Linked DNA regions of Stegostoma tigrinum. The protein of the gene in region 1 purifies or fractionates together with the protein of each later gene. This does not show direct contact. Links are inferred from orthologs where the notes say so. Each region holds a gene or a part of one and is shown in the gene's direction. Other genes may lie near its edges. The genes, in order: retreg3 and receptor expression-enhancing protein 1-like.

The links.
Region 2: the proteins of retreg3 (region 1) and receptor expression-enhancing protein 1-like purify together in Homo sapiens (affinity purification with mass spectrometry; 3 studies listed by BioGRID and IntAct, with this or other methods). This does not show direct contact. The link is inferred for Stegostoma tigrinum from reciprocal best matches to the Homo sapiens genes RETREG3 and REEP4.

The regions. Positions count from the first base shown.
Region 1 is NC_081384.1:200,762-204,681, reverse strand, and holds the start of retreg3 (reticulophagy regulator 3), read left to right. Parts: upstream 1-1,407; 5' UTR 1,408-1,533; exon of another isoform or gene 1,534-1,683; 5' UTR 1,684-1,699; coding exon 1,700-1,914; exon of another isoform or gene 1,915-1,922; intron 1,923-3,920. Other genes in the region: tubg1 (tubulin gamma-1 chain), read right to left, coding at 1,324-1,399. UniProt on the Homo sapiens protein: Endoplasmic reticulum (ER)-anchored autophagy regulator which exists in an inactive state under basal conditions but is activated following cellular stress.
Region 2 is NC_081393.1:8,318,069-8,321,988, reverse strand, and holds the start of receptor expression-enhancing protein 1-like, read left to right. Parts: upstream 1-878; 5' UTR 879-1,354; coding exon 1,355-1,386; intron 1,387-3,920. UniProt on the Homo sapiens protein: Microtubule-binding protein required to ensure proper cell division and nuclear envelope reassembly by sequestering the endoplasmic reticulum away from chromosomes during mitosis.

The DNA.
Region 1 (3,920 bases):
TCTTGTTTCCTCATGCTTTTATGTTTTTTAGAACTGTGCAATTTAGACTATATTGTCTCACCTTATCTCTTTTCAAAGTGTGTCACCTTATATTTCCTTGGTATTAAATTTCATTAGACTACTCAGCCCACTGTCCTAGCCTACATCCTTTTCCAGTTAACTGGTACCATCCTCACTGTCAATCACACCTCCAAGTTGGTATCATCAGCAAATATCAAAATGTTACTCTGTATTCCAATGTAGAAGACATTTAATGTAAATCGTGGCATGCAGATTAACCCAACATGTACGACTATTTTTTTGTCACCAAAATGCATGTTCAGGACTATATTTAACACATAAATCAACATCTATTTTGAGCTCATACACATTAAAGGCTATTCTCCATGCATGGAACCAGGCAAGTAATATGCGTCATGTTGCCAAGATGGTGCATGGAAACTTAAATTATGCCCAAACGATGCATACCACACATGGTGATCAAATTAATGGAAAAGGTTCCCACTTGCAAAAGAACAAAGCAGTTTTAAAGGTGAATGTAGATGTTGCAGCATTGCAACTACCCAAACTTGTGGAAATTTGATATGTCCTGGCCAGAAAACCCAGGAAACACTCCAACCTGGTCAAGTAGTCTCCATCATCAGCAAAGTGATGGAAGGGGTCACAAACTATTGACTTAACTCGAATGTATCAGTTACAAAAGCTACTTCATCTCTAGAAGAAATTATCTGCTCTGTCAACCAGCTTCAAATATTTGTCATTTCTAGACTCATTTATTTCAATGTCCCACATTTCCCTTCATTCGAAATAGCAATATCTTGTCCGTTTTCCCGTTGTTCTGGCTGTCCCTTGATCTAGCTGAATCCGACCGCCTTTCCATTTGGTTCACTACATTTCAATTTGTTATCCAAACCCAATCACTTGCACCAACCTTTTCTAACTGCTTGAAACCTCTGAAAGACAGACACAGTGCTCTTGTCCTAAATCCGTCTCACACATAAAGGCTGCTGTTGAGTTTTAGAATAGATACTCCGAGTAGAAAGGGTTTGTATCGAGTCCGGGGGGATGGTATACCACAGATATTGACAACGTCGGTGGGCAGTTGTTGGATTCTGCCAGGCTCCGCTTCACGACGAACCCTGACTGACAACAACTCGACGGCGGGTAGTGGGTGACCACCAGGGCCTTATCCCAGGCCCGAACCGGACTCACACTATTCTCCTGCACACCAGGACTAAAGGCGACACAAAACACCCAGTAACTAAGTGGCTCGCCCACCACGTTACCATTCACGGTCCCAATCCCCGCCGGCCCCTGCCTTACTTTGGTTGCCACACTGGCCGAGCTGCAAAGTGATAATTTCCCGAGGCATCGCCGCCGCTCGTCCCGCCAACTGCATAGAGCATGCGCAGAGTAACACCCGCGGTCCGTTTATAGCGTATTGTCAAACCGATCCCATTCTCGTTTATCCGAATGTCAGCTCAGATTCATCTCGATTTTATACAGCTTACTCAGCAAAGTAAACCGGGACGTGTGTGTATTTACAACTTTCTGAACCAGTGTTTTCGGGCTTCACGAGCCGATTCGATGCTTATTTAATTTTTTTCAATGATATAACCATGGATAATTAATATTCATATGTTTCTGTCAATATTCATGAAGACTATTAATATTCACATTCAGACAGAGCGTCACCAAGATGGCGGCTGAGCGAGCGAGTGCGGGGCCTGAGGGCAGCGATCGGGAATCAGCCCCGGCCCCACAACCCGAGTCTGAGCACCGGCTCCGGCAGCAGCAGCTTCTCCGCATTCTGGGTCATTACGAGCCCGTGTTGACTTATTGGCAGAGTGTGTTGGTGTGGGAGAGGCCGCTGCACAGCCTGTTTCTATACCTGAGCGTCAACGCCAGTTTCTGGTAAGGGCGGGGGGAGGTGGGTAGGCCTGTGTTGTTGATTGGAAAAGGGATTCTATCGGCCATCGGCCCCTCTCTCTGCCGCCGAAAAACACAGGGACCAACACCTTAGTGTCAAAGGCAGAAGTTTTCACAGCGCAGAAAGAGCACCCCCCCCCCCCCCCCCCGTGGCCTTGCCGATCATCCAACGCTCATCAATTCTAATCCGACTTGCCAGCATTTAGCCGGTAACCTTGAATTTTATGGCGTTTCAAGGGTTCATGTAAATTGTTATTAAAAAATCTTGGAGGTTCCTGCTTATACCATTCTTTTAGCAGTGAGTTCCACATACCACACTCAAGGTGAAAAAAAAATCAGAAGTCCCCTCGAAAATGCCTTAAAAATTGTTGAGTTGTTGTTGTTAAAAAGTGTTTCCTGGCTATTGGACACTGCCACGGTGAAAGACTTCTCCCTGTCTTGTTAGTCTTCCCAAAATGCATCACCTCCCTTTTCCAGATTAACTTCCCTTTGCCAATTTCAATCCATTTGACCAGCCCATCTATATTGAGTTATATTCTAAGGCTTCTCGCCTTGCTATTTAGTGCTAGCCTAAGAGTAAAACCAGAAAATGGTGAAAATAGTCAGCAAATCAGGCAGTGTTTGTAATTAAGAAATTGGCATTAAATGTGTTGGGTCACCACTGTTTGAAAAAACATTGTATTTGCAGCGATTTACTCTGACATAATTTGTGTTTTGCATTGTTTCCACATAACCATCCTGCTCTGGATTCTGAGTACCCACAAGAAAGCGTACTTGGGACACCTGCTTCACAAGTTTATCTACCTGTCACATTACCTTATGCACGCCAAGCTCTCTCCGTTCCTCTACATTGCTTAGAATAATTTCTTTTGTTGTGTTTTTCCTTGGTTTTCTTCCTTCCTAAATGCATAATCTCATCTACATTCTATTTGCCACTTTTCTGTAATATCTCTTACCTATTTCTTCACTGTCAACAATTTGTACAATCTATAAACTACTCCACTTAGGCCTTTAAATCATTAATATGTATCGCAAAAGTATTCTGAACTGTGAGGGGAAATAATGATGGACTTCAATAAAATTTAGGGGCAGATATGCAACAGATTAAATTTGATGTAGTGAAAGATGCAGTGATATGTTTTGATAGCGATAATGAGGATAGGTAATATTATTTTAAATAATGTAGTTCTAAAGGAGGAAGATGACTAACCAAGGAAATTAAGGAGAGTATTAAGTTAAAAGAAAAAGCATGCAAGGTGGTAAAAGTCAATGATCATTCCAAAGCCTAGGATAAACTCAGAATCCAACAAAAAAGGACTTAAAAAAAATAGAGAGGAAATAAACTATGAGGGCAAAGTAGCGAGGAATAAGAGCAGAGATCTAGGGTTGATTATTTCAATAACATCAATGAACAACTTTAATGCTCAGCTGATTAAAGGGGCACTAACAAAAATCATAATTTGAAAGGAAACTTGTTATGATACAGTAACATGTTGGAGGTTGGTGACGTACACCAGCTGCTCCAGCACACACCTGTAAGAACTGGGGTACATGTGTGCACATCATTAAATGTACATTGCAGTTTGAGAAAGTTGTTACAAAGACATAAGGATCCTGGTACTATAAATATTGGGGTCAACCTGAAATCCTTAATCTGTTTCTCTAAGTGGATGTTTATAGTGTTCTTAGAAAATAATTAATCTGCTTTATCTTTACAAGCCAGTAGCTAGCAGAAAACATCAGTCTCTTGTTTTAATTTTTGAAACAAGCTGCTGTTCAAAGTTAAATTCTCAACGGCAACTTTCAGATCCAATCCAGAAATGAGAAAAATATGATTGTTTCAAGAGTCTGTTATCTTAAGACGATTAATAACACCTCTATGCTCTTTTTTTTCTGCTGAGAAACTCGTTCTCTGAAAAACTTAAGGACCTTTGGCCCCATGGATTCTGAACTGGCTTGCCCGTAGAAGGCAGAGGGTAGTGGTGAAAGGG
Region 2 (3,920 bases), on another chromosome or scaffold:
GGCAACTGAACCGTACTGGTGGAGCTAGAATCCTAAAGACATTTAAGAACTATTAAGATGAGTCAATGGTTATTTCATGACCAGCATGGATACGAAAGGCTTCTTCTTGCACTGTAAAAAGTCTTTATGATAATGGTCACCGTCATTTGAGATTAGATTTAAATTCCACACATTTTTGAATGATTTTAATTCCACAAGCTAGTCAGAGGCTTTGAATGCTTGTCATGAGAGCATCATCGTAGGCCTCTGGATACCGAGTAAACTTGGTATATCACTACCCCTGAAAGTTGATCCTTAAGCATAATGTTTTAGTTCCTCAGCTGGCAGGAACTGGAATATTGTGCCAAACGGCAAAATGCATCCGGCTTTGTGGATGAGGCTCGTGTAAACAGCACCAACTGGGTGGATCAGACGCTAAGTGGGTGCTTGCCTTGGAAAGGCCAATGCAGATAAGGGGCTGAATGGCCTCTTCCAATGTTTGGACCATTTCTCCGATTCAGATGAGCGCAAAAGACTGCCCCAGTTCTTCCACTTTTCGTTGCCTTATGCCAGTGAAAAACAGTCGCTGAGATCAGGTCCCCCGGCATCACCACGGCCATTCAACTCCTCGAGCCACGTCAATACTCACTTGTGCTTACGTAACAACACCGACCGGCAGGTCACAAGCGCAGGCGCAGAGGCATCCCCACCCACCCCAGAAAGCCACAAGGAGCGCCAACGTCGAGCGGACCTTGGTGGCAGGGAGCTGATGGGACCCCGCCAGGGCTAACGAGGAGCAGGGTACGCACGCGCAAACCGCCGCTTGCTTGCGTGCCCCGCCCCGGAGTTGAACAAAAGCGGACTCTAAGAGACCGCCTGTTACCTACGGGAGGTGAGGCAGAAGCACGGACGTGACTACTTTCCCTATTCATGTTTAAAAAGGAAAGGTTCGGGAGAACGGAAAATTACAGAAGAGGGGCCATTTCGCTCGCTTACCTTTTGTTCCCCGCCCACAGCGCCGCGCGAGATCAAAGTGAACCCGCCCCCCCGGGGGTGTGTGTGTGTGGCGGGGCGGGGGAAAACAAGGCGTCACCGAGAGCAAATTCAAACCAGAGCACCAACCGGGCAAGTGCTGACAGGTGCCGACCTTCCCTCTGTGTGAGAAACCGAACCGGATAGGAGCAGTCAGGCTCGGCGTGGTGCTGCTGCTCCTCCCCCCCCCCCCCCCCCTCAGTGCACGGTAACACGGCTCGCGAAGGGGCACTCGGACGGTTCTGGAATCCCCGGGAGCTGCGCGTGCCGCTCACCAACGGTCGGCGTTGACTTTTGAATATAATATATATATATTTCAACCGTCGCTGGCGAGCTTCCTAACATGGTGTCGTGGCTCATCTCCAGGCTGATCGTGTAAGTCGGATTCCCCCCACCCCGTCTGCTTTCCTTAGATTGAGGTGTAGAGCTGGATGAACACAGCAGGCTAAGCAGCATCAGAGGAGCATGGACCCTGAGGAAGGGTCTAGGCGCGGAACGTCAGCTTTCCTGCACCCCCTGATGCTCCTTGGCCTGCTGCGTTCATCCACTCTCTGCAACTTATCTCCGATTCTCCAGCAGTTCCTTCTATCTCTGCCTGCCTTTCTTTGTTTGTCTGCGTTTGCTTTCTTCTCTCCCCACCACCCCCCACTCCTAACAGCCACCTGGCGTTCCCGACTCCCTCGTTGTCGTGAATTCCACAACTTTTGTTTTGCGTACACGTCCGTTTGAAATTTTGGCTTGTAGCTGCGGAGGTGTTGCAGTCGTTGACGAGATCTCGAGACGTTTTATTCCCACCTTACTTGTATACATTTTTTTTTAAAAAAACACGAAAAGGTTGTTCACTTCCTTTTGGAATCTTCACACTTGTCACCAAGGCGAATTAGAAAGCCGTCTTTGGTGGCCTTCCTCCTTGAATTTGACTGTTTCGGTTTAGAGCAGTTGACCATCTGTGACGGTTTTCAGCTTTGCGAAACATGATGAAGGGGTGGGTTACACGTTCAGTTGCTTGGGATCACGAGGTGGCGATGAGTGCCTGTTGGAGTGTCTCCAACAAATTGGAACCGAGCCTTTGTTAAATCGCCTTTTTTAATACATCCCGTTTCTCCTATAGGGCTGAACTCTTTGCAGCCTGTGCTTTCCCATGGTTAAGGTGTATTCACTTCAGTTTTCCACTTTGCTCTCAATTAGTTGAGTACACAGATGATTTGTAAAAAAACAAAATTTTCCCTTTCACCTTTGTGGTTTTCTGCCCCTTGTTAATCACTTCTTAGTTTCTAATGAACTATCATCCCAAGACACTTGCAGTGAAGGTACATCAGCGTTTTGCTCTGAAGTCCAGTGTTCTGCGTGACTCGTCAAATGACTTGTATGTCCTGCTCCTGTAGCCTGAATCTAAGTCACGTTGATCTGTGACTTGATTCATTGATGGTCTGATTTTTTTTTTGTTTTGGCAATACTCTTCAGTGCCAGCCCTGGGATCCTGTGGTGTGAGTCACACTACAGCCACCTTGACCCAGTAAGGCTTTTGTTTTTTAAAGGAGTTGGGTTGGGGACAATGACAGGATTTTGTGTTATAAATTGTGACCGCTTACTAAAAACTACCCATTCAGTCCCCCGAGGTTCTCGTTTTTAAGTGAAATGATGTGTGCTGACCCACGAGTTGTGGCTGCATTGTGGCATTTTTAAGGAAAACGTGAAGGAAAGAAAAGTGCTGTGGATGCTGTCAATGGGGAGCTAAAGCAGAAGTTGCTGGAAGTGCAGCAGGTTGGGCAGCATCTGTGAAGAAAAATCAGAGTTCGTGTTTTGGGTCCGGTGACGCTTCATCAGAATTCTCGTCTCAGATGCTGCTCAATCTGCTGAGCTTCCAGGAATTTGTTTTTGTTCAAAACTTGAGAAAGCTGAGTTAGATACAAATTTAGCTGGCATGTACTGCAGATTTTTGTGGCTGCCATTTACTTGAAGTTTTTCTGAATTTAATGATTGAATTGTAGAATCCTACAGTAATGCAGAGTGAGTTAACTTCCTGTGTGGGCTTAGGGTACTGTAAAGGATTTTCTTTAATTTCTTTACCTTGTCTGAGGCAGGGTCATTCTCATGAAACAACCACCACCACCACTTTGGATCAACATGCTAGGGTATATGATTCTGTTAGTCTCATTCATATTTGTGCACACAGAATCACCACCGTATTTGGAGCCTTGCTCGTGTCAAACAGTAATTTTAAACACATTGTGAAGTACATGATCAACAATTGTGTGGACTCAAGCCATTCTTAACTGACTCAACTGAGGGGACACTGTACTACAGTGAGCTGACTTGCCTATCCCCTTTCCTGCACAATGTTGGGTGTTGGGTTGACAGCAGGTGGAGCGTTGCTGTTTTCAGCTTGTCAGCATTCAACCCCTGAATGTGATTGCAAGACAAACAATTCTTCTGTCAACAAATACAGGTAAGCATGGCTGTTCATTTAACAGCATTCCCACAACAATGATATAGGATAGACAGAGCTCTAAACTGCAAACACACAGCAACCATTTAGTATGCACTATGTTATCTTATTTACCTAAAATCTTGTGAGGCAGTTTAAATAGTTTGCTCATTCCAAATGTGGAACACCACCCAGCAAGATAATTATATGCTTAACATGATGCGTGTTTGCTCATGCACATGCTGAGCTTAAAACATTTGCACTGGTGATAGAAGTCATTGGAGAAATGAGAGAACGTGAATCTGCTCCTCCAGTCAACAGTTACCAGAGGGTAGAAATGATCAAACCCAGAAGGGACAGCAGTTTTGAACACTCATTTGGAGAGCGTTGAGAGAAGTATGCTTCAAATGACGAAGCCAATTAACAGCAAGCGTCATTGTTAACACTTATTTGAGGTTTGGAAAGCATTGCCAAGTCTCTG